2 separate regions of the Mus musculus genome follow, and region 2 is reported to be linked to region 1. Evidence: microRNA targets listed by miRTarBase, many of them from high-throughput screens and not tested one by one. Region 1 holds a microRNA gene; the other region holds the end of a gene's coding sequence.

Region 1 (4,149 bases):
CATCTCAAACGCCAGAGAGGGTGTCTGGGTCAGCAGCTTCACTCAGGATGATCAGAAGTAGCCAACAAGGAGGCCTCCTCCACAGCCAGGAAAAACCTGGCAGAAAGTGGAAGCGGAGCCCGGGGCTGGAGTAGTTACCTCCCCAACCAATGGCTTCACTTTCTCCTTCTCTGGTGATTAGGATGCCTGAGAAGAGGCCTCACAAACAGGCCTCAATGAGAAACCTCAAGGACACAGGGATGCTTTGGAATACGTTTATTATTATTATTTTTAATCAACCTACAATATGCACATTTAAACCAAGTTACATGATTCACAACTACAGACCAAGGACATCCAGCGTGTCAAACCCCGACTGAATGGCCAAGAGCACTCACCAGGGGCACTCACCGAGGGCACTCACCGAGGGCACTCACCGAGGGCAGTCAGCACAGCACCTGGGATGCCCTCTGGTTCCTAGGGGTACCTGCTCTCTAACAGCCCGAGGTGTCCACAGTGGCACTTTCTGGCTAACAGGCAAGATGCTGACCCAAAGTAGATGCTAACTGGGTGCGGAGTGGGGGCGCCCCATGGGACACCATTCCCTCCCACCTCTGGCCGTCTCCTGTACTTGCCTGGCATGCACACATGCAAAGGATGGGTACCTCTCCAACGTGCCATCAGGACACAGGGACTCATCCAGTGGGAAATGCTCTGACCCGCCTCAAATTCAGTCTAGGCTGTCCAGTGGCTCCCATATTTGGGCCAAGGAAGCTGGGATAGGAGGAGGCCCTCTTTCCCGATGTTGCTATGTTGTCGGTTTAAGGGTCCAGGCATCCATTTCTTTCCACACAACCCCATCTGACAGGGCCTGACCACCTGGAGGTGGAAATGCCAAGTCAAGCAGACTTTGCTCAGAGCCACTTACAGTTTCACTCAGACCTCTCCCATGGGTGCACTCATCCAACAGCTGAGCCTGAGGCCCCAAAAGATCACCCTGGCTCAACTCTGCATCAGGACTGGGCCTGTCCCCACTACCACTCTTCCAGCCCGTGTCTGGCCCTAGAAGCTGTCCATTCATACAGCACACACTCACAGGATCACTACCCCAGCCTGGAAAAGGGAGAGCTCCCGCAGAAGAATTCTCAGCTCAACAAGATGACTACCAAGGGCTCGGCAGCCTCAGCCCCAGTGGCCACTCTCACGCTGGAGCAAAGAATGCCCCTTGACCCAGAGGTCAGGCGGCCGGCTCCTGCCAGAGGTTCGGTGGCTTTGGACAAGGGTGGATCAGGAGAGAATGAAGGTGAGGCGCACGTGTCAGCAGTGTGGGCGAAAGTGCAGGCTGCTGTGCAGGTCCAGGGCCAGCGTGCGTCCCGGGTCGTCGCTCTGCACTCCTGCCAGGCTGCGGGACTGCACGAGTCTCGGCGATCCGGGTGCCCCCACCCCACCCCCGCGCCCCTCTCAAGCCGACCTTGGCCGTCGGGGCCGCCCCGTCGCTGCTGTCGTCGCCGCCGTGCGCGCCGGGTCTAGTGGTCCTAAACATTTCACAATTGTGCTACAGAACTGTTGAACTGTCAAGAACCACTGGACCAGGCGCGCCTGCACACAGAAGTTCTGCACAGCCCGGAGCTCCGGAGCCACAGCTCAGCGCCCTCCTGCGACCCGGCCCGCGTGGCCGGGCTGCACTCTGTGCGGCGGCAGCCGGCGTGCCTGCGCCTTTTATGCGTCTAGGTCGCCCCGCTCGGCGCCGGAACGCGCCAGCCGCGCTGGCCTGACCGGTTTTTCCAGGCCCGCGGGTCGCGCGGCGGGTCGGCCCGAGGCCCCGGGAGCTGCTCCGCGTGCTCGCGCGGGGGTGGCCCTGAGTCACCGGCCGCACCCGGCGCCCAGCTTGGCGCACCTGGCCGGGGTCGACGCAGGGGCCGCGCCCGCTGGAAGCCCGAGAGCCGGCTTTGCAATGCTCGCCAAGGGGCCACGCCGGCGGGGCACGCACCGAGCCCCACGGGCGGCGCGGGGGCGGGAACGGACACGCCCGCACCGCGGACTCTCTTCAAAGAGAACTCCGTGGGAGGGGAAGGAGGGAACAAAGAGAAAGTGAAACTGGGTGGGGGGGCTGCGGCGAGTTTCTGCTTCCCAGACCTGGGCCTCTCGGCGCTCGGAGGGGGCGGGGCGAGCCCAGTCCTGGGTCCTGGGTCCTTGTGCCATGTACCAGGGACCTTGCCCGCAGTCCAAAGGGCCCTGTCTGCTCCGCACCTGCAGGCGCCCTGCCCTCTTAGTCACCGAGCCCTTAAGGGTTCCCTTCCAGTGCAGTAAGGACAGTGTTAAAGGAAAAGGAGAGCGATTGGAATCAAACTTGAGCCCCTGAGGACCAGAAGGCTGTCATAATGCATTCAAGTTCTGGCCAGCTGGCCCAAGGAACACCAGTGTCTTCTTTTCCGGGGTGCCACAGACTGGGCCAAGGCAGCAGGAGGAAGCCTCTAGACCTTTCACTGATGGCGCTGTCAAGTTTAACTTTTGCATTCGCCTTGTAGGGTGAACAGTGTAGGGTTTTGTGTGTGTGTGTGTGTGTGTGTGTGTGTGTGTGTGTGTGTGTGTGTGTGTGTGTGTGTTAATGTGTTTGGTTTTGTTTGTTTGTTTGTTTTGCAGTTGGGTCTTCGGCCTCAGAGAGAAGCCATGCCTTCTCAGAGGTTCCACAGCCCTTGGCAGTGTGCAAGTCTGATTGAATGTGGAGTCAGAGGGGCTGGCATGGAGAACTAGGGAATGTCCACAAAGAGGCATTGCTGGAGTCTTACTCACCAGGCACACACTTAGTCTGGAAGTTGTCTCCTATCTCCGTGAGAAACCCTCAACGGCAAGACAAGAAACAAACAAACAAGCAAACCCCTTTGTACCCAGTCTAGCCTGAGTGGGCTCCTTTCCCATAGCAAATGTGGGCACTATGCCTCAGAGGGGACTTTTGAGAGGCAGGTGAAAACTCTGGCTCTCTTGCAACCTGAAATATGACAACCAGAAGGGTAACCTTGCAAGAGATTACTTGTGTATGAGGAGATGGGTGGGGGTGGCCTGGAGGGCTCAACTGGGGAGTCTGATTATAGAATAGAGGGCGCTGGGAACCAGAGGGCGTGACAAAAGGGAGATGTTCCCTAGAGATAGCCCTGGCGTTCAGAGGAGCTGAAGCCTCCCTAGAGGGAAATTACCAGTGTGCAAAACAGCAGTGAGCCTTGCCTGCTGGGGGCAGGGCCCGGCCCTCCTCCACTGTGAGGAGGGCCATAGGGTTCCCCAGCTTATCCAATATCTTATGTCTGGTCTGAGGGCAGCCTGAACCACCTCTGCATGTGCTAACAGGGGATTCCAGGGTTCCTGCAGATGGAAGGATGGCCCAGTGCCCTTTGTAGGAGCCTGAAAGGGACATGCGAGTGTCCCAAGTATCGTGCTTCCTAAAGCAACTTATCTGGGACCCTCAGAGGACCTTATTAATGCAGCACCTGCGTCCCCCCCCCCCAAGCCTTCTGGACGGTGCCTTTGAGGCCATCTGGCATCTGTCTGGTGTGAGGTTGCATCCCATCATCCTTGAGGATCCTGAGAACCGGCCTGGCTGCCAACCCTTGTAGGAGTCCCTCTTACCTGCCCGATTGCTGCCTCCCCCTGACCCTTGTTGCTCATATCTGCAGAACCTGTATGGGGACCTGGGGAAAAGCCTCAGTCAGCCTTCCACAACTGGAAGGCGGGACTGGGGGTGTTTCAGCAGAACAGGGAAGGGAGCCATCTCAGCTTGCACAATCCAAGTGTGGTGGATCCCAAGCAATGGCTCTGCCAGCCCCTCAGGAGGAGAGTGAAGGCCTCAGGCTGAGCTCGCCTTCCACACTTTCCTATGTCTGACAGTCTCACCTCCCTGCCCTGGACCCTGGAAGTCTCAGCCCACAGGTGAAGTCAGGTCTTGTAGATGGATGCTCATGCCCCGTGGTACCTCTCCACCTACTCATGGAGGATTCACTGAGGTGTGGGGCAAAGGCTTCTGGGCCCCTGCTGTGCTGAGGTGGTGTCACCAGGTTGTGCAAGGTGTAAGCACACCTGTCTGGGTGAGGAGCTGGGTGGCTGCCAGGGCAGCGTCTGCTGGGTCCTGGGAACCAGGCTGAGGAGCCTAAGGTGTGGGTAGGGGAGCCTCAGCCTGGC
Region 2 (4,000 bases), not on the chromosome of region 1:
GGTCAAAAGTCTTATTGCAGGACAAATGGCTCCATCATTAATTAATCAGCAATTCTATTCAGAAACAGGAAGGCAATAATGAAAGCTCTGACTTCACACTCAGAGTAATATTTTCTCTGGACCGTGGACAGATGTTTATTTCTTAGTATTTAAACTTAAAAAGTCTTACAACCTAAATAGTAACCTAAATTAATGTTGATTCATGCATTATCTCTTAGACAAATTAATAAAAAAAAAAGCCCATTCAATGGTATTAGCCTTGTTATTTGGGCAAAGTATCAGAGCCTTCTTAAATGTCTAATTATTCTGGTTGGTTAATCAGTTGACTATTATTCATGCTAATGTATAAACTCCATTTTAAAGTATCTTTTTGAGGAGATATGGTATCTATAACTGAGTTAAATCCTGTCACACCATCTCTCATTTTTGTGCTCAGGTTGGTGAGACCAGATGCAAAAAAGTTTGTACTTCCAAGTCTGATTTGAGATCCAATGACTTCAGCATTGTTGGAAGCTTACCAAGAGATTTTGAATTATCCAATTATGACTGCTATGGGAAACCCATCGAAGTCAACAATGGACTTGGGAAACCACAGGCAAAGAACAAGAAGCCTCCGCCTGCCAAGCCTGTCATCCCAACAGCAGCCAAGCGCATCGACCTTTATGCAAGAGCATTATTTCCTTTCTGCTTCTTGTTCTTCAATGTTATATATTGGTCTATATATTTATGATAAACCATTTCCCTTTGTATGAAATACAGCACCATTTCATTGTGACCAATGCAATTCATAATTGCTGATCTGTGGAAACTTTGCATTTTCCTAGCAATATATTGCATTTTGGATGCCACTTGATTATAATAAAATACAGCACCTTACTTTTGAATGGCAGCATGACCCTGTAAAGTCTGTGCACCGACTGTGAGATAGATAGATAGATGTATGTATATTGAGCATAGTGCTTTAAGAATCAATGACAAATATGCATACTATGTAATCTACATAATGTGCTCTTCAGCTACTGTAACTCTGTAACTACAAATACTTCCAGTAATCCAGATGAAAACATAATGTGCACGCTGACCCCTGTCATGTTCACTGGTCCATGTATGCAGTATCTTACATCCCCTTCCTTGTAAGAAAGAAAGCCATCTTATTAAATAATTTTCGATAGTATTATTGCAGATTAAGCAAGATTATATGGCATAGTGTTTAAAGTTTTTAAGAGAGGTAGATCAGTAATAGTTATGCAGGCTCCTTAAGAAATAAAATCATAATTATACATTTATAAAGCAAGCTTATTTTTAAGTGTGCTTGTGTCGTCAAAATGCCAGATAATAGAACAGTAAGCATTTCTGAAGAAAAGAGAAATCTGGGCTAGTATAAATGCATAGCAAGTTCTGGCTTCTGGCAAAATACAAATAGTGATAGATGTATTAATTAAATATTTTGGATAAAATAAATCCTTTAATCCACCTTAAATCAAAGTCTATTTTCATGCCTTTCATTGGTTGGTATGGAGAGCATTAAGCATAAGCCTTAAAAAGAGTTGCACACATTTCAAACCTAAATAGTGTGGTGACATGTGAGTCCAGATTACTGTTAGACTCCAGAAATTGTTAGCATGAACTTGAAATGGAAAAATCATAATCACTGAAGGACTTAGGTTGTTTATTTTATTAAAATGTTTCTATATTTCAAGTAATATTCAAACTGTTTTTGGAATTTTTTTTATTTATTTGAATGTATTTGAATATGTTACAAAACAATGATTTAGTTAATAATTTTTTTTATTTAACCTTTAGACTTCACCCTTTTCTTCTCGCTGAAAGTCTAGATATTGGGGCTGGCTGACTTCATCTTATTTCTATCTGAAAAGAACCCCTAAGCCTCTTCTTATAAAGCCCCATTTTCTAACAGTGTCATAGTGTAACTGTTTATTTCTGTCTTAGCTAAAATTGGAGCTATTAGTAATTACTGTAATGTAAACAGACCATAAAGCCATTTTGCGTTATTTGGAGTGCTTTTGTTCTTGTTGATAGTTTGTACAGCCAACTCATAACATAATGCATTAAAAGTATTATTTGTGCAATTGCCATTTGCTCTTTACTGCTATGTGATTTATTGAAGATTTTCAACTCAGGAGCATTCCGGGGGTTATGGCCTTCTTTAAATGGTGTATAGAGTAATCCTCTGTAGTCTTTCAATACCATCCAATTACAAAAGCATGACAGTCTAGATCATTTTAAAATGCCACAAGTAAAATGGCGAATAGTTTTCTCTCCCAAGACCTAGGCAAGTATTAGTTTAATGGGCCAGCAGTGGGAAAAATACCTTAAACATGTATCATTTAAAGAATCTCTTTGTAGTGATATTTTCTTACATTTGTTTTTCTAACTTGCTTTCGTGTTAGGGCCTTTCATCTAGGGTATTAGGTGTCTGATAGTGAAAGCAGTGTCATGATATAGAAATGTATTGTAAAAACAGCGGGGAAGGAATTTTGTCATGTAATACAATATAATAGCTTCTTAATATCAGACTATATCCTTGGTCTAGAGTCTCATCGCTACTTCTTATTTTGAGCTAAATATGCAGATGTTTTATGAACCAGACACATCTGTTTAGAATAGCACATACATTGTTATCCCTGCCTTTTTTCTCTTTCTATGATTCCCAGGGTTCAATGTGCCCAGATCCCAACTCAGACCCGTTTTTAGGTATCTCTAAGCTAAGTCTGACTTTTGACTATAAAAAGTAATTTAGCATAAGCATATAGAATAAATGGCACTTAACCTAACATTATTTGGATTCCCCACATTATATGTACTGGGATTCTTTTTAGATGACAACATACTTATATTCACGTATAAGTATGAACTCTGCCTCCTCTTGGGAGGATTTTTTTCCCATGTGGAAATGAAGTTGTCCTTTTTCAAATACAAAACTATATTACAATGCTATTTGTGTATGGATGTGGCTGTTTATGTGAATGCCCAGGGTGAAGCTGCTGACCTGAAAAACTGAGACATTTAAAACTCTGGTGTTTCCTCATACATTTCTGCTAAAAGATACGAATGCATGCTTTTACCAGAACAAGCCCCCTCCCTGTTCCAGTTACTACCCAACATCATGTCGACCTGTTTCTTTTTCATTTCTTTCACTTGGCATCATTTCAGAATGTTCCAACAAACTTGAAAAAGTACAAAGAATTCCTGTGCACCCTTGATCTACAGTCCGCAGACACTCCTCTTTTCTCAGACGTGCTTTCTTTCTCTTCCATCACTCTGTGTGCACAAGAAGCTGCTCTTCAAGATTGTAAATGGAAGCCATGATGTCTTTTTACCTATACAACTCCAGCGTGTCTTTCCAAATTACAAGGACCTTTCATTTCATGACCACAGCGATAGAATGGGTCCTCCTCGGGAAATTGGCACTGAGCGAATTATTAATTCTTTTCTATTTTCTGTAACTCTCCTTCATAGTACAAGCCAGGATCATGAGTTTTGTTTCATTGTTATGACATCAATTTCTTTAACATGACTGGGGCTATGTTGAGTTAGAGATGGTTAGTGGTTAAGAATGCTTGCAGAAGGACCATGCCTCAGTTCTTAGCATCCATGTGCAGCAGCTCACAGCTGCTTATAACCTCCATTCCAAAGAACCTGGCCCCTTTCTGGCCTCTGCAGGCCCCCCACATGTGGAACTTGGGTAAACCTATACATATATAAAGTATTTTTAAAATGTGATTATACCACTATCCATAAAGGTATACTTAATGTCTCATGCTGGGCCTCAGTGAACCAAACAAAACATTCCCTTATCATAAAGTTATTTATACCCTAATATCCCACTAAATTGACTTCAACCAATTTCTCTCATGTTTAGACTTAAGTAAAGGGCTAAATTCTGGCATCCCCTTTTATAGAAATGGTTAGTGTAATGCTTTGTTTCTTCTTAGTAGACCAGGCTTGTGTGTCATGTCTGTAAACACTCCTTTTAACT

The links. Region 1 holds the annotated microRNA mmu-miR-203-5p (AGUGGUUCUUGACAGUUCAACA, at 1,544-1,565, opposite strand). A microRNA usually pairs through its seed, bases 2 to 8, with sites in the 3' UTR of a target mRNA and lowers its output. Matches are read on the target gene's strand: a 7mer-m8 pairs with bases 2 to 8, a 7mer-A1 pairs with bases 2 to 7 and ends in A, and an 8mer does both.
Region 2: the mRNA of Glrb is a reported target of mmu-miR-203-5p. The part of its 3' UTR that is shown has no 7-base or 8-base seed match.

What each region holds. Positions count from the first base shown.
Region 1 is chr12:112,128,305-112,132,453 of GRCm38, reverse strand. It overlaps Mir203 (microRNA 203), which reads right to left and starts at 1,574; the gene lies at 1,499-1,574. Gm51289 (predicted gene, 51289) reads left to right here and starts at 1,508; the gene lies at 1,508-1,567.
Region 2 is chr3:80,841,694-80,845,693 of GRCm38, reverse strand. It overlaps Glrb (glycine receptor, beta subunit), which reads left to right. Exons shown (of 10, transcript NM_010298.6): 10 at 437-2,095. The coding sequence ends at 730. Among named protein-coding and RNA genes, the nearest start is that of Gria2, 41 kb to the right of the region's middle.